Linked DNA regions of Oryzias latipes. The protein of the gene in region 2 purifies or fractionates together with the protein of the main gene of each other region. This does not show direct contact. Links are inferred from orthologs where the notes say so. Each region holds a gene or a part of one and is shown on either strand. Other genes may lie near its edges.

Region 1 (4,060 bases), on a different chromosome or scaffold from region 2:
ATGTAAATAATGTATGTATCAATACTGTGTTATGTTTAGACAAGTTTTTTATACACAAAAATAGGTTACAGAAATGCCACCCCAGCTTTAGCTTCTTTAATAATGAGGTCAATTTATACTTAAAATCCATAAAGTTAATCGACTCACCTAAAGCCATAACAATTTATGACACCCTGAGTGATATTCCTGATGTCTAAGACAGTTTATTTATATTTTGTATCCCCCTGCTTTTTGCAACACTATCCAACTCTGAAATTGTTGTTCTCTTATGTTATACTTTTCCCTGATTTCTCTATGATTATGAATATACATAGGTTTATGTTTGCATACTGATAAGAATTTTTCTTCTTTTTGCTTCCTTTCCAATTATAGTATTCTCTTTTGTATTCGCCATATTTTGTAATTTTTATGTAAATGTTCTGGTATTGTTTTGTATTGTTCTATAAAAAAAAAAAAAAAAAAAAAAAAGGGGAAGAAAGACTCACAAAAACGCATGCAGGAATGGTCCCATCTCCAATAGTGTGCTCGGCATACTCCTTCAGGTTTGGGCTCTCGTGAATAAAAGCTCTGCTGGTGGCTGGCAGTCCCTCTTCCTGCAGGTATCCTGAAGAAAGATGGAAATCAAACTGCTCACCCCCAAAAAGAAACTGCACGAACACAAACGGAAAACCCAACTGCTATCCCAAGCCGGTGAGCCCTGTCAGCTTTAATCCGCCCATCTTACCCTTCGTTTTCGAGACAGGCTAAAAGCTACAGCTACAATCCCCTCTTCCTTCCTCTGGCTTTGACTTACCCAAAACAAGCCGGGCCACATCAGAAGGGAGCAACATGGCAGCCTAACAGCTAATACGATATATTCGGGGTTTAAAAGATACACAAAAACGTCAAGTAAAAGAATTAGCGACTATAAATAGACAACATAAAACTAGTCGATTTCGGTGATGTTGTTGTCCTGAGGCTGAGTGTACTCCAGCTATTTCAAAAGGCGGGGAACTCAATCATGTATAACCCGGAAGACTTAAAGTGACACACCGATTAGATCTCTGGTAATTGTAGTTAACAACACAGAAAATCTTAGCTAGGTGTTTTAAAACGCCACAAATAACGGCACATTTTCTAATTTTAAAATTTTAGACAGTCTCAACTTCTAATTACATTAAATATTATGTAAAAGTGCAACGAAATCATGCGTTTCTTAAATAATAAATAAATAAATAAAGTCGTTCAAGACGTATACGACCAGGAAGTAGACGTCACTGGTACTGGGGCGGGAATCTGCGTGTGCGTGTAGCTGCTAACGCACGTCGAGGGGAATGGAAAAGTTGCTGTAGGGACAGTAGCACCTTGGCTAACACCTGTCTGTGCACGAGCGCTGGGCAGCTTGGAAATAACAGTCACCTGAGGTCCGTAAAGAAGCCGAGAGCAACCGGTCCCATATGTGTGTCAGTCCATTTCCCTCCAACCTTTTTTACCTTTTTTTTTTTGAAAGGAAGAGGACAGAAACTTTCGCTTTCTCATCCGCCCTGCAAGATAATTATATGAGCTTTTCTCCCCCTCTGCCAGCAAAGTTTACTCAGGTAACAAAAGACAAAACCCCGAAATTTGCACAAATTTAAAGCGATTTCTAACAACACAATGACAAGTCTACAACTCCTAACAATTCTCGTTTATTATTGCACGTCTGGCTTCATTTTTTTGCATTTGGCACAGAATTTGAACGAGCCTTTGCCTGGGCGACCTTCTGTGGTACTTTGAAGGCATTAAGGTGCTTTAAAAAGACATCCATCCACCACGTGACAGCTGTCTGTACACACCCACACTATGCTGACAATCCTCATGTTTGCAGAGCATAAACCATTCTGCATTTTGCCTTGAATGGAAGCAGTCAGAGACCTTACAGAGCCTTTGTGTATGTTGATATTTGGAACAGATGTGATGATGCTTTGATGTTGTCCAGACAGGTACAACAATCAGCTGTGAAGCAGGATGAGTCTGGCTCTACATGATTTACTGCTCTGCTGCAGAGGGCTGGAACATGATAAAGCTACTGAGAGAAAGGTAAAAACGCAAACATCCTAACATTTGGGGACTTAGTAGAAAAATTATATCTTTCATTCATTCATCTTTGAATCCCTGGAGCCTATCCCGAACGCAGGGGACATCCTGGACAGGGGCCAGTCTGTTGCAGGGTCACAATCACCCATCCATGCACTCTCACATTCACACCTAGGGACAATTTAGAGCAGGGGTCGGGAACCTATGGCTCGCGAGCCATATATGGCTCTTTTGATGGTCACATGTGGCTCGCAGACACATTTTTAATTTTTTCTTTTTCATTAGACCAGTCCTTCTCGGGCGCGATGGGATGGCAGAGGCGCACAGTAGTAGCGGTGCTTGGAGAGAAGGATCTGCGCCAGCATTATCAGTTTACAATTATCTATTATTTCACAGAGTTTGTACCAGCCGGAAACCTGTGAATTGCCGTGCCTAAAACTGCGCGCCCCCGTCTCTGAGAAAGAGCGCGCAGTAGCGGGGACAGGATGTGACTGAGAGGGAGAAAGCAGAGGGTGAGGGTGGAGTTGTGGGCTCGGTCAGTAAGGTGAACCGCGCAGGGATTGTAAAAACATAAAACCTGCTGCCCGTCACTCACTGCAGCGTGTGAGTGTGTGTGTTTGGCTCCGCGTCTGCATGTGATCAGTCTGTCTCACATTTACAGAACATTCAGACCTATGATCACGTTTAAAGTCTCAACGCCTGAACGAAGCAGAAACTCACCACGTATCAACCAGACTAGACCATCAACAAAACTACCACGAGAAATACTCATCATTTATTAGCAACAGCATAACAATGTTATTAAAAATAATCCACAGACTTATTGTACTTTAAAAGTGTTGAAATTATATCAAATGCACACATTCACTTGAATATTTAGTTTTAAACATATTGTAGCGGACTGAGTTTAACTTGGCTGTTGGGCCGCGTTAAAAGTTCTGGAGTTCCTTGAACGCATCAAGCAGAGATCTGATTGGCTCTTAGTTCTGTCGCTCAGCTTGTTGTTAGTTAATTTGGACCAATGGGGTTCAGCTATGGGCCGAATAAGGGAAATGGGAGGGCTGGAGCGGGAGGGGGGAATATAAAGTTGGGAGAAGCGCTCTCGTCTCGGCGGGAGAGATTCAGGAGCTGCTGAATTAATTTACGGCATTTGTTACAGCCTGCATTAACCAGAATAAAGAACCTTAAAAGAGGTTAAGTCTCCGTGTGGGAAAAGGACACTACATTATTGTATGGCTCTTTCGAAATTACATTTAAAAATATGTGGCGTTTATGGCTCTCTTGGCCAAAAAGGTTCCCGACCCCTGATTTAGAGGATCCAATAACCTATGATGAAGCATGTCTTTGGACTGTGGGAGGAAGCCGGGGTCCCCAAAGAAAACCCACGCATACACGGGGAGAACATGCCAACTCCACACAGAAAGGTCCCCCATCGATGTTCTGCTTCAGGTCCCCCAGCCGGGGACTTGAACCAGGGGCCTTCTTGCTGTGAGGCAAGAGCGCTAACCACTGGTTAAATAATGGATTTGTGTTTTTTGTTCATTTATTTCAGTTAATAAGGTTTTGTTTGGATTTTTAACTCATCAGAAGGGGGTGACGTCATGATAGAAAATGTCAAGCTTTACGTAGCTTTCTTGCAGTTAAATGTGCTTCAGCTGGAGGATCTTATTTGAAACAATCATTTTGGTCTAATTTATTTTTGAAAAGAATTTGTGTGTGCTGCTGTAATAATAAAAGACAGTCAAATCGTTATACAGTACACAGAAAAAAACATTCACTTTATACTTAAATTATTGTAAATATTTTGAAGTGATTTTATAAATGAATAGCTAAATGGCCTGAGAAACATAAATAAAATTTGTTTTTCGAACAGGGAAGTGGGAATTTGTGGCTTTCACTAGGTTTTGTTCATTTAGAAACTAACCCAAATGACTCTTTTAGCGTTAAAGGTTGCAGACCCCTTGTTTGGGTGAATACTCTACTCTGATTGGCTGTACTGGATGTC
Region 2 (6,322 bases):
GCAGACATGTGTTAAGGGCTGACAGCGGGGTGTCATTACATGATACAAAAGATCCACATTTGACATATAAACAGAAAAATACTGAGACTTTGGGTTCAAGGACCAATAATATGGGATTTTTGTCTCAGTAGTGAAAAAGAAAGTAGTCCCAGTCAGCTTTAAGGGCTTAGTTAATTACACATTTAAGGAGCAAGAAAGACTGAAGAATAGAGATTTTATAGTTAATACAATTTTACATAAAGTAAACCAGGAGATCATCATTCATTTCAATGAAACAAAAACACAAAAGGCAGTGTGTGGAAAAATTGAAAACTTTGATTTACTTTTTCTTTTCCACAGATTAACAGCATTTCTTGGATCACTAGTTTGCTACCTAATCCAGTTTTTTTTAAAAAAGGTTAAGAGCAGCGTGTGTAAAAAATAAAGCAAATTTCCCAATTACTTTGTTTCAGACGCCATAATTATTGGACAAACTTTTTCATGGCCAAGAAAAATAAAGAGGTCAGCTGCAAATCTCAAAGATGAAACATTGCTAAACCAAATCATAGATGGATTCTAATCGTGGTCTTATTAATTCAAGTTTAAAAGGATAAATCAGAAATTCTCAGCCTGACTGATATAAATGCCAAAAACCTGAATGCTCAATTCTTCGCAGCCGTCTAGCAGGAATTTGGGGTTTGATTTACTCTTTATAGTGTTTTTGTGAACAATGGAATAGTGCATTTAAACAATAATACACTGCAGTGTTCCTTATTAAAAAGATTGCTTTGTAACAAACATTTTTTGGGATGAAAAATCCTAAATGAGGTCCTTAAACTCTGAGATAAGGGTTAAGCTTCCTGATGTTTTCTAACAAAAACAAACACCTGTTGGTAACCAGATGCTCAAGCAAACCCAAACTGGCTGCTACTTAAAGATTCTTCTCATTTCTAGAAAGTTATGGTCTTACCAAGTTTTTCCACACACTGCTTCAGCAGTTTAATAACTTATTCAGGAAATAAAACAGTAAAGAATATTAAAATATGTTCTTTTTTAGGCACAGCATTTACATGAATAAATTATAAAATATTATAGTAATTAACATGAATATTGCAGAGTGCTGTGCTGTTGCATTTTGCCCCGTCAGCCCCAACATCTGTTTGCTACTCCTTGTGCTCTCAGACAGACAACTTTGACCAAACTGAGTCTCAGTTTTAGGGATAGCTCTCCGGTGCCACCATACTTTGGTTCTAGAAAATAAGTCTGAAACATGGACTGAAACATGAATCCTCACTGTTATGCAGTCACCTCACAGAGCACAGTTTGAAGAGAAAGCAGACAGCGCAGTGATTTAGGTAATTTAGAGACAACCCCCCCCTGAAATTATAATAACATTAAACTTTAACTGGCAAAATTTCAAACTTTAAAGAGAGTCCACAGCTCAAATAAAGTGTGAGGGTTGAGTTTTAAGGAGAGAGTCAATATCAACTCTACGGGGCGTTATTTATCCATTTAATTATGAGAACTATTCATTTTTTTAAGTAACAATTGATTCAACAATATCATTTTATTCCAATTTTAGTTATATTTGTATCAGAGGCATCTTGAGTAAAGCATCAAATAAATCTTGAACATTTGCTTTGTTGAATTTGATTTTTAACCATTTTGTTTCTCTGCTTTGAAGCTAAAGGAAGAATTCTAATCTACTTAAGTTTATAGCCTGTGTCATTTAGAAGAGAAACAGGGCAGCAACTATTGTCAATGCATGCTGTTCAAGAAGGATTTTGTCTGCAAAACACCTAACCCAAATATGTTGCAGATGACCGACATTGCTGAGTGTCGACATAAACCTGGTCTGTCTGTTTTTCATCAGACAGAATGAGCAGGAGACTGCAGAAGCTGCTTTACCAACTGACTTACAAAAAACCCAGAGATGCCATTCATGCTTTTGCCGTTCATGCTTTTGTTGTGATTGTGTGTGGCCCTTGAAATAGTGAGCAAAGACACATTTTCAAAAGAAAACCAGACTTAACAGCATACAGACAAAACTTTCCAACTATATATAACTATATATATACACTATATATATGTAGTGCTTGACAACACTCATAAAACAGAAACAGATTATGATAAAAAAAAAAAAGGTCCTAAAAACAAGCCTGGCAAGTATGCAAGTATGTTTTGTTTTTGTGACTGGAAAAAAAACCTGTAGATTCAATTTTTTATCAAAAAAAAACTCAACTTCAATAAGATGGAAACTAAGCAGTCAATGAAAATAGTCTTTCACAACCAACTGTTTTCCAACAGTACTGTTGGGGAACTGCCGTAAACATTTAAATGTAGTTTACTAATGCTTTATTATGAATCTTCAAGGGTAAACTTACTGGTACTACTTCTCTTTCTGCTCTTTCTGGTGAGCTAGGACGCGAGCCTGACAGTCCATTCTTTGTGGGTGTTTTTGCTTCTTTTTTGGGAAACTGGAGCTTCTTCATGTCCAGCCTGTCTGCTGTGACCCATTCATCCAAGCGCTTGTTGACTGCAGACACACACAATTTTACATTACCAACTAAAAGACCAACTGTTATGAAAAGATTATTTTTTTCCGTCCATATGAAACACGACCGAAACTAGAACGTTCTTTATGTGTTTGGAATCACTTTTGTTTTTTCTGAAACAATGACATGAATGAAAAGTCTAAGCTTTCTTTAATGATAGTGAAACAGGAAAGATGAACTTTGCTTTACTCACAGTCAATGTAGTGAACATAGAACAGCTTTCTTCCAGAAACCTCCTTCAAACTCAGGATCTCAGCCAAAGCTGCACAAGTAGAAAAGAAATTATAAATACTATTTACAAAGTAAACACACAGCTATTTTATCTTAATTCAAGTGGAAAATGAACATTCACAGTTATAATTAGTGCAAGAGTGGTTTTGCTTTTTAGCGCCAAGATAAAAATGGGTATTGCTTACTTTAATCACACTGATGATGTGTAACAAAGCTAGTACTTTGATTTAAATAGCTTGGAACTACCTCAGGAATTCAACAAACTAGATGAACTTATGCTCTTTTAAGAAAAAACATTGTCATCTTTAACTTCAGCTCTCATGTCTACATGATGAACTGTACTGGACAGCAGTGAATTATCACAATTTATACAATCCTTGCGTATGAAACTCAACCTTTTTTTAAATTCGTAATTTAAAATGTAGGGCTTTTGAAAAGCAAAATGTAATTCAGACTTATCTAAATTTCTAGTGTTTAAACATTGCGACTAAATGATTTCCAGCCCAAAAACACAAATAAAGAAGTAACAAAGCAATTTAGACCTAAACGAACAGTTTCTACCATAGCAGTCACTGCATTTTATCTGAATTTGTTTTTAAGGTTTTTTTGAAGGCCGTCATATTTGTTTGTTAGTTAGCATTAGCTTAGCTCTAAGCACGAACGAAAAGTACTTACGCCACTCATCCTCATGTTCCTGGTTTTTACGAAGAACGGGGAGGCGACAGCCTTCCACAATTTCGACCTGTTGATAAAACAGCAGATGTTAGTATCCAATAGTAGCTGTTATTTTTAAAAACAATAATATACGTTTCCATAACCTACCGAAGAACAGTTGTCCGCCATTTTCGTCGTTGGTGTAAGCTGCTGCAGTGTGTTGTGGGAAAATGCCGGTCCACATCAAAGACGTAAAACGCAGTGAGACTGAGCATGCGTCGCTAAGCGGAAGTTATGGAGCCAACCCGGAAATTTTTTTTTTTTTTTTTTTATTGATGCAGAACAAAAGTGACATACAGCAAAAGAACAAGGAACAATAAGCTGTACATCAAATGTTCAAAATAAACGCCAGGGGATATGCAAGCAAAAAAATAAACTTACACTAAATTATACAGCTGAGCAAGGTGATACGTTTTAATAGCTTTTTTGTTTGTACTGGGGGAAATGGAATGTAAGTAACATCTAACTTGGGCTAGTAAATCAAGAAAATTAGGAGCTTTATTGCTGAATTTAGATTTGTGAATATAATACTTGGTTAATAAAATTAGAAGATTTATTAAATAAAATTGAGATAAAAATGTCTTATCATAATTAATGTAACCAAATAAGATGTTTTTCCAGGTTAAATTAAAATGTGGATAAATTTGAGTTTTTATCAAATTTGTCATTTTGTCCCATATTTTTTCAGTGTACTTGCAGGTCCAAAAAATATGCACCAACGTTTCCTCAGACTGAGAACAGAAAAAACAGTTTTTATCAATATCCCTTTTTAGCCTTTGCATATACTGATTTGTTGGATAAAACCTATGAATGATCTTGAATGAAACCTCTTTCACTTTGTTGTTTAGAAGATATTTGTTTGGCAGAAGCCAAACCTTTTCCCAACACATTTGACCATGAAGTGAAGTCCAGAAAGTTATGGCCGGGGATTCAGTTTTGAGCTCCTGCTGGAACAGTCTTCGGATGGTTTTGTTTTGATTTCTCAAAGCAGAGAAGCAGAGTTTTCCGACAGCAGTGTCTGTCACATGAAGCTGTGGTTGGGGAGCAGATGGAGTAGGAGTTCCTTTATAAAGATAGGTGAGGTTGAGGGAAACGGCATCAAAAACAACCGAAAAGTCCTTCATAGAAACAGGGATCTGGTAGAACTGAAGGAATTCGGTGTAAGTGTAAAGTTGACCTTGTTGATTGAATAATTGACTAACTAGTCTGATATTATTATCAAACCACTGTTGGATAAAGATAGTTTTGTTTTTGTAAAGAATATATCTATTGTGTCAAATGTAAAACCTGTGAGGAGAAAAATTATGTTTATAAATCATGGACCAAGCAAGTAACATCTGTTTATGAAATGAAGATAGTTTGATGGGCACTTTGTCGGGCTTGTAGGTGCAGAGGAGTAAAAAGTCGAGGCCACCAACCTGGGAGAAAATATAATTGGGAATGAAGTTCCACAGAGAGTTCGGATTTTTCAAAAACTTTCTTATCCAATTAATTTTAAAAGTCATATTTAGGGTACTGAAATCTAGAAAGTTCAGACCCCCACTAGTGTAATCATTCATTAGAACAGATTTCCTTATATGATGAGTTCGGTTTTTCCAGACAAAGTCGCATAGCAGTTTATCAACAGTTTTGCTAAGGATGTTACTGACATAAAGAGACTGAGCGGCATAAATGACTCTGGAGAGCCCTTCAGCCTTGGAGAGGAGAATTCGACCTTTAATGGAAAGGTCACGTAAGAGCCAGAGGTTAAACCTCTTTTTCATTTTATTAATAATTGGAAAAAAGTTAGCATTACCTCTATCATTTTCAGTTTTTGATATTATTATGCCAAGATATGTGACTGATGTCTTTACAGGAATATTAAAGAGTGAATCCGAATCACAAGATTTAATTGGGAGGAGTTCACATTTTTTCAGATTTAATGAAAGACCGGCTGCTTTGGAAAAGGACGTAATTATATTTATTGCTAATGGAATTTGTGAGCTGTCTTTAAGAAAGAGAGTGGTATCATCGGCGAGCTGACTTACGACAATAGATCTACCAGCGATGGAGATCCCTCGTAATGGACTGGATTTAATGTGGTCACAGAGAAGCTGAGCTACAAGAAGAAATAGATATGGAGATATGGGACAACCCTGTCTAATCCCACGTTTTATATCAAACCTAGGTGATGAACCATGTTTAAGTTTAATGGAGCAGGTGGCATTGTTGTAAAGAGTTTTAATGACTTTGCAGAAGTAGTCACCAAAACCAAATTTTTGTAAGGAACGATACAGGAAGTTATGTTCTACTGTATCAAAGGCCTTAAAAAAGTCCAGAAATAGCATAAAAGAGTCATGTGCAATTAGATAAGAGTAATCGAGTATGTCCAAAACTAAACGAATGTTGTTTGTGATATGTCTGTTGGGTAAAAAACCTGATTGTGATTCATCTATTACTGAGTTAAGAACAGATTTAATTCTTTTAGCAAAAACTAAAGCTAAAATTTTATAATCATTATTAAGAAGACAGATGGGTCTCCAATTATCAATATAGAGTAAATCTTTGTGAGGTTTTGGGATCAGGGTAATAAGTCCTTGGGTCATACTCCAGGGTAGGGTGTCATTAGAAATACTTTCATTGTAAACTTCCAGTAAAAAGGGCGCCATCTGCTGGTAGAATAAAGTATAAAATTCAGTAGTTAATCCATCAGTTCCTGGAGATTTATTTGTTTTTAACATCTTGATGCAGTCACAGACTTCTCCAAGACTTACTGGATCATCACAAAGCTCTTTTTCAGAGTCTTTAATTGTTCTGGTACTGTTTAAAGAATTCAAAAAGATTTCAGCCTCTATTTCAGAATA
Region 3 (6,320 bases), on a different chromosome or scaffold from region 2:
ATGAGTTTAAATAGCACCCCTACAGGCATTACCTGTAATGAAAATGATGGATAATTCTTTAATGAATTTGTACGCAATGTGCATTTTTCTCCCGTCCTTTTCATTGTTATAAAAATGAGCATATCTGCTGGCTCATACTTAGACAAATGAGAGATCAAGAAATATAAGTAATTAAGATGGAAACAATATTAATTGAATCTGAGTAATATGACATTTAGTCAGATAAATACATAAATTTTAGTTGTATAAACAATTATAGAGTTTTATAGACGTAAAAAATTAGGTTGATTAAATTCAACTCAATTATTTGTTACCAATAGAAGTAATTCATTTAAGGTGGCAAAATTGGATAAGTTATATATATATATATATGCGTCACAAGGAAAATGGAAATTAGATCAGAAACTCTTGCGTTTACTTTGTCTGTTCTTCTACTACAAGCAGAAACTCTTTCTTTTGCGGATGCAGCCATATTACTTTTTTGATGGACGTATAATCTTTATATGCCGTCAATAAAAGCTCAGACTCTGTCTCACTGAAGTATAGCGCTTTCTTTTTTTCCACGCGATTCCATGGTGACGCCAGAAATCGGCGATCCATTGAGAATGTCTTTATGTACTTGACATGCATGTGCATTAACCCAGGGTTACCAAGTCGAGCGTAATTACGCCAACTCATATCCGGTCTTTTGGAACCGACATACCCCGGGTAAGCAAGTTCAGGCGGATTTCAGCCAGAGTTCAGGCTTAAAGTCAGGCTAGTTTAAACATGCTTCCTGGAATACCCCCTTGGTCTGGAGCAGGTTTAGTTGAAGGTTAGTTTGTTTACAGAGAGGTGAAGCAGCATGTCGTGTCCATTTAAAGATGATTTAGTGGATGAAGAAGCTCAGATAATACTTTTTCCACCATGAGAGGGTGATAAGACTACGTTTGGATGTTGGAAAAATAAACTTTTTTACTTTGATCTAACTTAATTATTTGCTTCAGTTAAGAGAAATCATTTCTTTTTAGTTAAGTCAGCTTAAAAATAATACGTAGTTATCAGACATTTATTTTACTTTCATTCAAATTATTTCAATTAAGTAGGTGTAACTTTGGTGCTGCCGTTAGATTGGCACGGCAAAGGATTGTGGGATACCATTCCCTTTGCCTGTCTGGACGGATTGAGGTTTAAGTGTGGGTTTTTGTCCAAATGTGTTTAGTTGTTTAGCTTTTTTACTGTGTTTTGCCGAGTTATTTGTCCTGTTATGTTAAATTCTTTCTGCACCATGAGTGAGAGGGAGGGAGAGGATGATTTGTTTATATAGCACCCCTATTGTGAAGTAGCGCTATGATAAATTCAGAGACAGTGTTTATAGTTCAATAATAGAAATCCATTTTATTTCATTCAATTTATTTTTATATAAATGAGTATATTTGCAGGCTCAAATTTAGACATATGAGAGTTCAAGAAGTACAATAAATTGAGATGTAAAAACTTTAACTGAATTGGAGTAATATGACATTTAGTTAGATAAATATGTAAATTTGAGTTGTAAAAAAATATTGAGTAAGATAGACGTAAGAAATTAGGTTGAATAAATTTAACTCAATTACTTGTTACCAATTGAATTAATCTAAGTTGGATAAGTTATATATATATGTATGCGTCACAATGAAAATGTGTTTACTTTGCGTTTACTTTGTCCGTTCTTTTTCTCCAAGCAGAAACTCTTTCTTTTGCTGATGATGCAGCCGTATTACTTTATTGATGGACGTATAATCTTTATATGCCGTCATTAAAATCTCTGACACCGTCTCACTAAAGTATAGCGCTCTCTTTTTATCCATGTGTTTCCATGGTGACTCTGGAAATTCGCGATCCATTGAGAATGTTTTTAAGGACTTGCTGTGCACGTGCATTAACCCAGGGTAACCAAGTCGAGCGTAGTTACGCTAACTTATATCTTTTGGAACCGACATACCCAGAGTAAGCAAGTTCAGGCGGATTTCAGCCAGAGTTCAGGGTTAAAGTCAGGCTAGTTTAAACATGCTTCCTGGAATACCCCCCTGCTCTATCCTTTCTCGGCTACTGTTGGGCAAACGGCGGGGTACAATTCAAAGAGCTTCTGAATTATGCTTCATTCATTTTTTTTAATTGAAGATCGTTTTGTCTTTGCTGGTGGCCGTTCTGATGATCAATGATTATGCATTAAATACATTTGTGGTCATTAACTGCAATTGTGTTTTTCCCCACAACATCCTACTTGATGCGCATGTTTACATTTAGTTCTTATTTTATTTTTGTTTTGTTATATTTTGTGTGTTGTTTTTTATTTTGTGTCTTGTTTTTGTTTTGCTTTTATTCTATTTTGTGTTTTATTTTGTCGTGTTTTGTTTTATTTTTGTGTTTTGTCTTTATTCTATTTTGTGTTTAGTTTTAGTATAGTTTTGTGCATCCTGTACGCAACTTCCGGTTACGCTGACGAATGGAGGACTGAATCTGTTGTCTGCATTTGTAACGCTTAGTTTAAGATGGGTGAAGCAGACGTGACGCTGAGCCAGGCGGAGGAGAAGCCCCCGGACTCGGGGCTGGCCCCCGGGGAGGACTCGGTGGTCTGGAGCCATGAGGTGGAGGTTTGTTTGTTCCACGCCATGATCGGACACAAACCCGTGGGTGAGACTCGCCTGTCATCACATTAAAGTCTGTGCTGCTAAGCTAGCACGCTAGCCGGAGCGCTCAGCCGCTTTTGTATTTACATCAGATTCACATGGTTCATTGTCAAATGTAAGCTGGGGAATTGCAGACGTCTTAGAAGATTTTATTAAAGGTTTGAGAGATTAATTCTCAAATTTTATTTGACGTATTTGTTTAAAAAAACAAAACAAAACAACAACAACAACCCCTGATTAAGTTGAGAATGTAAAGCTAAAGGGGGCACAGAAACTAAGACTGCCTGCTTCAGTTCTACATGTCCCAAGTCCACCACCGTCTTGGAGGGAGTAGTAGATCCACTGAAAGTAGTTTCTGTCAGGCTGAAGAGTGTTGGAAATGCTAAAACACAAAGTTGTGTTCCTGTGCATCAATGGGAACCAAAAGCTTGAAGGTCTTTTCAGCTCCTGCTAGCAGGACCCCGTGTAACTCCGTGTGCTGTTGGAGCTGCAGAAAATCAGACTTAGATTTGCCTGAACGTGTTTTTTTTTTTTTTTTTACATGTTCTAGTAGTGTTTTTCTGATGATGGAGGACATTTATAAAGAAAATTAGGATTGCATTTCTGAGAATTTCTGTATTCAAATCGCTGTGAATCATGAGCAGATGTAGAAATGCAGTTGGAAAAAAAGTATTTGTGATGTAGAAAATACGCTGGGCGGGGCCACAAGCTCCCTGCCCCGCCCCCATTCTGAGGCACTCGCTTGCAGACCAATGGATCCATGAATGTCTTTTGTTTTCATCGTCTGAGGAATCTGGACGTCTGGAAAGCTACGATTATTGCTGCCATTTTTGTGCAGCCGCTAACGTAAGTTTGGGGGTGAGGGTGGGGGGGGTGTTAGCTAATGGGAGAGCATGTAAACAGAGAGCTCTCAGTTATGGGTGATGGGAAGGAACGGTTGCTCCGCGCCCACAACTCTCCTGCTGCTCCTCAGAAACTATGTCCTAGAAAACGACACAAGTTTTTTTATTTTGGCTAAAACATCAGCATCATAGTTATTTGAAACGCTTTTACAATTACAGGCTTGTATCGGCAAGAGTCTGGTTACACAATATGTACCCACGATATTTTACTAGAAGATGTTTTATTTTAAGTATGACTTAAAATAAAACTGCACCTGAATATAAATACATCTTTCATTGTACTAAAATTGTAAAATTCGGATTATTTAGTGATCATAATGTTAAGCACTGCAACTGTATCTCATATATAAGTTGCTTTTACCCAAACAAATTCATAGTGCTTTTATGTGGGAACTTCAAATATATAAAGGGAACAGTCAACATTGTCTGATTTTCACAACAAATTATTTTTCATTATAACAAAAAATAAAATGAATGAATGTGCCTTAGCCAATACAGTTCTAAAAGTATGATTGAGTTAATAAAGTGCTGTTTATTTTCAACATTGCTTAGTGTAGCTTCTCCAGAACTTTTAAACAGTTTAGGAGCCTGAATGGCGTTTCAAAAAGAAAGAAAATAAAAAACACGGATTCTTTCCAGAAACAATGAGTGTGATGATGAGGCAGCATGACAGGATGAAGGAGACGCTTTAATGTGGCTAAGATGCTTTATTTACATATCAGTTTGCTGCTGCAGCTGTTTTCTCTCACGTGGATGTGAACACGGCATCGCCACGATGTCGGCCTTTTTTCAGAGCGTTGGATACATCACTCTGGTCACTAAACTAGAATCTATTGCTGTGAGGTTCTGCAGAACTTTGACCCGCTTTGCTGACAGCATTTTGCCTGATGCTCCGTGCATTAGCCTCTGTGCAGCTGCAGTGCTTCACTCGTTCTTATCTGAGCCTCTAAAAAGCACTGCAATCTGTGTTTTTATGTTACTGGCAGCAACATGGAACAGAGTTTCGGTTTGATATCCATCCCAAGTAAAAACTAAGTAGTTCATATCTCATAACAACAAAACAAGCTGCTTGTAGCTGAGATCTTGTTGTTTTGTGCGTGTAGAGCTGCTCAAAGAGGCTCTGCTGCCAACTAGCGGTCGGAGGGTGAAGTGGACAACAAGAGTCAGACGCTGAAGGACGATCAGAAATAATTAAATAAAGATCGTCCTGACGATTAAATTTATACAAATATCGCCAAATGAACAATTGCGACATATCGCTGAATCTTCTTTTAGAAGGCTTCATTGTGTGTGTGGGCCCATGGGATGTTGTGTTAACGATGGGAGGGGGGTTGTTTGCACAGATGAGCTTTTTATTAATAAAGTTCAATTTGATAAGACTGCTGCATTGGAACACGATGGACTGTGTCGTGTCTGTTATAGAGGCCGGCTAGTCTAGTCATTAATGCTTCATGAAGGGACTATAGACTGCTTTGTAGTCAGTGAAGCAAGACACTTGTGTGCTGATGAAGCTGAAGAAGCTCTGATGTGTGTGTGTGTGTGTGTGTGTGTGTGTGTGTGTGTGTGTGTGTGTGTGTGTGTGTGTGTGTGTGTGTGTGCACGTGCAGGAGTGAACCGCCATTTCCACATGATCTGCATCCGAGACAAGTTCAGTCAGAACATTGGCCGGCAGGTCTCGTCTTCCGTCATCTGGGACCATCTGGGAACCATGTACGACATGCAGGCCTTGGTGAGGAAGAGCCCCCGCACACACATGCAGGGTCTCTGAAGTCTGGCTGATTTCCCTTTTCCTGTGTGCCGCAGCACGAGTCCGAAATCCTGCCATTTCCTAACACAGAGAAGGCCTTCTCTCTGCCTGATGACATCATCCAGGAAGTCAAAGAAGGTGAGAGCAGAAGCCGTGGAGCCGCTTCCAACCAGGTTCATTTGACATCAGTCAGGCTAGCGTAATCACATGGACTCACTCCCCTTCACTGGCTTATCCGGAGCCGGGTCGCGAAGGCTAGATGCTCAGACCTCCTCGTCCACAGAAACCTCCTTCTGTCCCATCAGCTGGACTCCGAGGCCAGCCGAGCACCGTCCCTCTAGTGTCCTGGGTTGTCTTAGATTCAGTTATTGTTCACTTTCTTTCTGCACGATGCCAAAAGTCTCCAGCTTTATCTGCATTTGCTGTTGAAGGCTGAGGTAGAGGAGGCTGAGGAACACCTGCAGGAGAGGAAGCTGTCAAAGAAAAACTGCAACACCAAACCTCTCCAGCATTTCATTCATAATAAACGGTTAATGAAGCTAAAGTGGAGAAGCTGAGGTGAATTTGATACCATCCTCCATTATCCTCTGCCTGTCTCTCCTCTACGGAGCCTGTGTCCTGACATTAAGATATAAAAATATATCTTGTTCCCACAGATTAATATCTTGTTCCCACAGGTTATTATGTCGTTCGCACGAAATACTATTCCGTTCCCACAAGATACTATTCCGTTCCCACAAGATACTATTCCGTTCCCACAAGATACTATTCCGTTCCCACAAGATACTATTCCGTTCCCACAAGATACTATTCCGTTCCCACAAGATACTATTCCGTTCCCACAAGATACTATTCCGTTCCCACAAGATACTATTCCGTTCCCACAAGATACTATTCCGTTCCCACAAGATACTATTCCGTTCCCACAAGATACTATTCCGTTCCCTCAAAATGATTAACTCGTGCAAATGCAATAATTATGTCGTTCGAACGCAATAATTAATCCGTTCGAACGCAATA
Region 4 (6,080 bases), on a different chromosome or scaffold from region 2:
CCATGCTTCCATGTTGTTCTGACCCAACCATCTGAATGTGGCAGCAGAAATGGAGACTCATCAGACCAGACAAGGTTTTTCCATCTTCTATGGTCCAGTTTTGGTGAGTCTGTGTGAATTGTAGCCTCAGTTTCCTGTTCTTAGCTGACAGCAGTGGAACCCGGTGTGGTCTTCTGCTGCTGTCATCCATCTGCCTCCAGGTTGGACGTGTTGTTCTTTCAGAGATGCTCTTCCGCAGACCTCGGTTGGAACCAGTGGTTCTCTGAGTTCCTGTTGTCTTTCTATCAGCTGGAACCAGTCTGACCTCTGACCTCTGGCATCAACAACAACGTTCAAAGTCACTTCAATCATCTTTCTTCCCTGTTCTGATGCTGGTTTGAGCTGCAGAGATCATCTGGACCATGTCTACATGTCTACACGCATTAAATTGCTGCCGTGTGATTGGCTGATGAGAGATTTGTGTTAACGAGCATTTGGACACCTGATAAGGTGTCTGTTGAATGTTGTCAGGACATTTAATTAGCTAAGCCTCTCCACCAACAGTCAGAGAAATAGAAGTTACTGAAATGAGAGGAGAACTATCTTCTAGATCAGGGATCTGGAACCTTGAACACTAAAAGAGCCGTTTGATCGGCTTTCTGTCTGAGCAAAACCCAGAGAGCCACAAAGTCCCACTTCAGGTTTAGAAAATTACACTTTGTGGTCTTTGTGGTCATTCAGGATTTCATTTCTAAAATGTAGCTTTGAAATATTTACAAGAATTGAATGCTGACAGGATTGTGTTTGACAACTTAGACTTTTTGTTTTTAACATTTAACAGCAACAGCCCCAGAGCCACGATGGAGGGATAAAAGAGCCGCATGTGGAGGTTCAGGTTGCAGACTCCTGATCTGGATCAACCTTTAGACCCCAGATGCTCTAAAGAACAGACATCCAGTGAAAACTGAGAACATTCAAAACCTTTTAAACGAAACATTAAAACTAGTAAAGTAAAAAAAGTTTACGCTGGCCTCATTGAGGAAAGTGCAATAATTAACATGATCTAGTCTGAGTTTTAAACTTCAGGAAACAAGAAAATTAAGGGTTCAAACCCCGCAGATGTACGTCTGACCAGCACCCGCCCTGCAGGCAGTGGACAGCTGCTGTTGGCTGGGGGGCACTGTGGTCTGAAGGATAGTACCCGGTGTGAATGTGGGGGTCCATCACAAACTCCGGATGCTCAAACACTGGCTGAGGTCCCAAGGTCTCAGCGACCTTCATACTGACCCGCCTGAATGACTGACAGCAGCAGAGATGACGGTTTTAGCGAGATAATTCCAGAGGAATGACGCTGCTTCTTTTTTAAAACCAAGATGTTTATTCAAAAGTGAACAGGCAGCTTTACAACTGACACATGAAGCTAGGACAGATGGGTGGAGTGGAACCCCTGACTGCCCTCTGGTGGCCACAGGTCAACATGACATCCACAACACTGCTGAGCAGTTTTGCACGTTTGTTCATTTTGTATTTTTGGAGACTGTCTGTGTTTTTATCAGGCCCGTTTCTAGCTTTTGTGGGGGCCCAGGCAAAATGCTGTTTGGGGGTCTCCATGTTGTAAAACTGTAATGAGGAGATTTGTAACCCCTTTGGTCAACTAAGATGGCACAATATATTACACTTCACAATGTTAAATTGAAAGACTTCAGCAAAACTGTGTGACATAATAATAATTAAAATAAATAATAATAATAATAGGGGCTGCACGGTGGCGCAGTGGTTAGCGCTCTTGCCTCACAGCAAGAAGGCCTCCAGTTCAAGTCCCAGCTGGGTGACATGAAAAACACAACATCAATGGGGGACCTTTCTGTGTGGAGTTTGCATTTTCTCCCCGTGCATGCGTGGGTTTTCTCCAGGATCTCCAGTTTCCTCCCACCGTCCAAAACATGCTTCAAAGGTTGATTGGCAACTCTAAATTTTCCATAGGTGTGAGAGTGAATGGGTGTGTGATTGAGGATATTCTACCCTGGGACAGACTGGCGACCTGTCCAGGGCATCCCTTGCCTTAGCCCAAGTGGCTGGGATAGGCTCCAGCAACCCCATGACCCCAAAAGGGAATAAACAGTGAAGAAGATGAATTAATAATAATAATAATTATACAAAGTAATAATAATACCAACACAACAACAACAATGATGACAATAATCAGGAACAGCTTATTATTGCAGGTTTTCAAAATATATTTTATTTTATTTATAGCCAACTTTTTATCTGTTACAGTATAAGGAGTTTAATAAACAAAAGAAAACATCTACAGGTAAAAATAGAGGTGTTATTCTCCTCAGAAGAATAACACAGGGGAAGAATCAGTGGAGATTGTTCTGTGTCATTGTGAACTGTATGGGGAAGAAAGACGACAGCTGGAGAATAGAGTTCATAGAGGTGAACGGCTGAGTTTTAAAGAAGCTTTTGGGAGGGGAGGAGAATTTAAGTGGTGCATTATAGGTTTTTATGAGCAGAACCAGATTATTGAGGAGAATATAGTTTGTTTTTTGGTTAGATATTCCCCAACTACGATCCATCCTCCAATACAGCAGGTGGCGGTACTGCCCTTGTCGTTGGTGCCTCCCGCCATTTAAACTACAAGAAGAAGAAGAAAAAGCAGCAGAAGAAGAAGCCCCGCTGGCTAACGGCTGTTTTCTAAGGCCATCACCGGACGCAGCTATACCGATTTCAGCGCGTACTTTTGAATCCAAGTGATACTTTGGCATCATGGTAAGTAATTCCCGACCGTTTAACGACCGACATAACCGGACCGAAACCCCTCTGTCCGGTAGTCCGCGCGGGCCCGAGCATCAACGTCTGTGGCGCCTAAATGTGGTACAAGCTAGCGTTAGCTTAGCATGCTAACCACCAAGTTTTTCCCGCGGAGTCGTAAAATAAACGATCTGGATCACCGAGCGCCGTTACCGGCCGTGGATCGACTCTGTGGTTGTGTGTTCTCCAGGCTGGCGGTAAGGCTGGGAAGGACTCCGGGAAGACGAAGACCAAGGCGATTTCGCGCTCGCAGAGAGCGGGACTCCAGGTCAGTTAGCGCCGCTCATTCATTCCCGCTGGCCCCGCCGCGGCCGGCCGTACTGGCGCGGGTCGGGGCGCTCCGCCTGTCGGTGAACGCTTGTATCCCTCCTCGCTGTAGTTCCCGGTGGGTCGCATCCACAGACATCTCAAGTCTCGAACCACGAGCCACGGCAGAGTGGGGGCCACCGCCGCCGTGTACAGCGCGGCCATCCTGGAGTACCTGACCGCAGAGGTAAGACCGGCTGCAGCATGTGGCGAAAAGTCATCTAAAAGAGAGTTTTCCAAATGTATAAGGATCATCCAGATGGGTCAAAATAAGAAAGATACGGCGTTTGAAGTGAAGGGCGGAATTTGATTCCTGAAATATAAGGGAAAAGGCAAAAGTTTTGTGACCCGAATCACAGATGAGAGTTCTTAGTGTGATAACTTTATCCTTAAAATCCAAGAAAGAGGCATCATTGCTAAGATATTCAAACGAACTACAGGAAACGACAATGAAACTGTTATTTAATCAAAAGTACGACATTCTAAAAGTACTTCACTAAGCTACATCTGATCCTTTGTTGGTGGACAGTGGCTGCAGCCAATCAGCGTACTCCAAACCGGTCACATGACCTCATGTCCCAGCATGCACTGCTTGCAAACGAAAAAACAGTACCTACTAACTTCTTTTATTAAAACAGCAAAAATCGACTAGTTTCAAAATTAGACACCAACTAACTTACTGTAGAAAGTTGAAGAGGGATTTTGAGAACCAAGATATTCATCCGGAGAATTCCCTACGTTATACTGCAAGGATCGAAAAGATGTGAGAAGCAGATCAAAGACGAGTTTATCGACTTTTATACTTTATGTTACCTACCGATCTAACTGTTTATTCAACGAGAGTGGACGCTGCAGCCGAGCGCACAGGTCTGATCACTGGTTTGGAGGAAACGTACCTGCGCCTCCTGCCGGCCGGCTCCCCTCTGCTCCTTCTGAGGTTTTGGCTTTCCACAGGTCCTGGAGCTGGCAGGAAATGCATCAAAGGACCTGAAGGTGAAGAGAATCACTCCACGCCACTTGCAGCTCGCCATCAGAGGAGACGAGGAGCTGGATTCTCTCATTAAGGCCACCATTGCCGGCGGAGGTGAGTGGGGGCTTCACCTGGACGTCCCGGGCTGACTAAGCCCCGCCCCGGTCTGAACAGGTGTCCTGTCTTTCAGGTGTGATCCCGCACATCCACAAGTCCCTGATCGGGAAGAAGGGCCAGCAGAAGACGGTATAACCCAAGTGCTCTGAACATTGTGCCATCTCAGGAGGACGTCAGCATCCAGTGTTCAATGTCGTAGATTAGAAAACTTTTCACGATTTTTATGGTTGAATTTGTGTCTACTCACCCGGGGTATTTTTTTTTTAAAGTGGCTTCAGAGAAGCTCTTTGTCCCTTTGGCCTTTCCTGGTGTTGCAAGCGTCTGTGTTCCACTCGCTAACGTGGCGTTTCCATGTTCAGTGGTGTTTTAATGAAGCAGCTTTCAGTTTTCTAACCTGGCTGCAGGACGAGGGGTCAGGAGGTCGACCATCGGCGGCTGAGGCGTGCATGTGGGAAAGACCCCAAACATTTGAAGATGCGTGTGAACTGATGCATGAGTGGCAGCACACGTTTATGCTGGAGTTCCCGCTGCACAGGCGTGGTCAAGGCTCCCTGCTGCGTCCTTTTCTGTATTAAATTTTATGTGGAGACGGTCTCTTTGTTTTAATTCCTGACGATGCTTCTTCATGCTTCTTTTCCCACGTTTTCTATAAAGCAGTTTTTGGCTTTGATTTCTGTGGTTTTTCAGTCATTGCAGGTCTGGTGTGATGGATGCTATCGCTCTGAAATGACCTTTAACCTCTAGCAGAAAAACATTTCCTATTAAACTGAAGTTGAGCTGTTTCAAAGACGAGTCTTTTGCAGAGTACTGTGAAGTCTATCAGCTGGTTTAATCTAAACTCTGCCGTTTGGAGACCAAACCTTTACGTCTGTTTTGGACTTGATGGCGGTTTTCTGGAGCATGTTCGGGTTTTTCTGCTGGCAGACGTCCACCTCCGTTTCTACCACCTCCACCTGCCAGCAGGAAGGACCCGGACATGAACCAGGCACGCGCTCCGGAGCTCCACTCTGAATGTGGGACAGTGCTGCCCCCTGGTGGCCTTCAGCTGTATTTGCTCTGTTTCTAAGAAAGAACCGAGTCTTTATTGGATTCTGAAGGTGACGGATCTGTTGTCTGAGCTCAGAACTGCTGCTGTGGACGAGTGAAGCCTGAGACACGATGCAACACGTGTCTCCGGGACACAAACATATGGAATCACTGGAACAAGGAAACCAAACATGCTCCATCCTGATGCATCTGTGGAAAACGAACCACGTCCGGCATCACTAAGCAGAGTTGGGTCTCCATGCTGCTCATCAGTGATGAGATGCAGTGGAGGAAAAATATCCACCGCTTCCCTCTTTGTCATGTAAACTCTGAGATTTTGTCTACAGGGACATGTCCAAAGTCCGGCCCATGGGTCAAATGCGACTTGCGTTCAGATTTCTCCTGTCAACATTTGCTGCTCACAGCAGTTTTTCATAACGTGATCGTCTAAACTGTCACTGGACTTTCTGACTCTTTCCAGCTCGTTTCTAAAATGTCGACTGTTAAAAAACGTAAAAAGCGGAAATGGGAACATTTGAGTAAACACAAATCAATCAGGTCTGTCTTCATAATTCTAAACCACAAACATTCATAGTTTATGATTTAAATTTGGACGTTTACAGAAAGCAGTAAATATTGAATAAACGTAACAAAATCAATGTTGACAAGTTTTTTTTTTTTTTTTTTTTTACAAACAACTTTTTCTTCATTTGATTTTTGGTCTTCAAATACAAAATTCCCAGTAAATGTGTAAAAATGTATTTCTGTTCTGAAGGAACAAAGAGTCATTGCATTACAGCATTGGCCCTCCCCTGCATGAAGACATCTGACTAAATCCTAATCATGTCTAAAATCCCAACGGCCAATC

The links.
Region 1: the proteins of kat5 (region 2) and atm purify together in Homo sapiens (affinity purification with western blotting; 3 studies listed by BioGRID). This does not show direct contact. The link is inferred for Oryzias latipes from reciprocal best matches to the Homo sapiens genes KAT5 and ATM.
Region 3: the proteins of kat5 (region 2) and mrgbp purify together in Homo sapiens (co-immunoprecipitation; 8 studies listed by BioGRID and IntAct, counting the BioPlex papers as one, with this or other methods). This does not show direct contact. The link is inferred for Oryzias latipes from reciprocal best matches to the Homo sapiens genes KAT5 and MRGBP.
Region 4: the proteins of kat5 (region 2) and histone H2A.Z purify together in Homo sapiens (affinity purification with mass spectrometry; 6 studies listed by BioGRID and IntAct, with this or other methods). This does not show direct contact. The link is inferred for Oryzias latipes from reciprocal best matches to the Homo sapiens genes KAT5 and H2AZ1.

The regions. Positions count from the first base shown.
Region 1 is NC_019871.2:24,872,602-24,876,661, forward strand, and holds the start of atm (serine-protein kinase ATM), read left to right. Parts: upstream 1-1,260; 5' UTR 1,261-1,577; intron 1,578-1,957; 5' UTR 1,958-1,986; coding exon 1,987-2,058; intron 2,059-4,060. Other genes in the region: protein NPAT, read right to left, coding at 486-604, 794-830.
Region 2 is NC_019872.2:15,161,135-15,167,456, forward strand, and holds the start of kat5 (histone acetyltransferase KAT5), read right to left. Parts: upstream 3,708-6,322; 5' UTR 3,609-3,707; coding exon 3,588-3,608; intron 3,508-3,587; coding exon 3,441-3,507; intron 2,797-3,440; coding exon 2,728-2,796; intron 2,516-2,727; coding exon 2,364-2,515; intron 1-2,363. UniProt on the Homo sapiens protein: Catalytic subunit of the NuA4 histone acetyltransferase complex, a multiprotein complex involved in transcriptional activation of select genes principally by acetylation of nucleosomal histones H2A and H4.
Region 3 is NC_019865.2:29,091,575-29,097,894, forward strand, and holds the start of mrgbp (MRG/MORF4L-binding protein), read left to right. Parts: upstream 1-2,436; 5' UTR 2,437-2,513; coding exon 2,514-2,655; intron 2,656-5,160; coding exon 5,161-5,282; intron 5,283-5,356; coding exon 5,357-5,438; intron 5,439-6,320.
Region 4 is NC_019876.2:29,621,054-29,627,133, reverse strand, and holds histone H2A.Z, read left to right. Parts: upstream 1-2,224; 5' UTR 2,225-2,748; coding exon 2,749-2,751; intron 2,752-2,983; coding exon 2,984-3,061; intron 3,062-3,172; coding exon 3,173-3,286; intron 3,287-4,053; coding exon 4,054-4,183; intron 4,184-4,259; coding exon 4,260-4,321; 3' UTR 4,322-4,856; downstream 4,857-6,080. UniProt on the Homo sapiens protein: Variant histone H2A which replaces conventional H2A in a subset of nucleosomes. Nucleosomes wrap and compact DNA into chromatin, limiting DNA accessibility to the cellular machineries which require DNA as a template.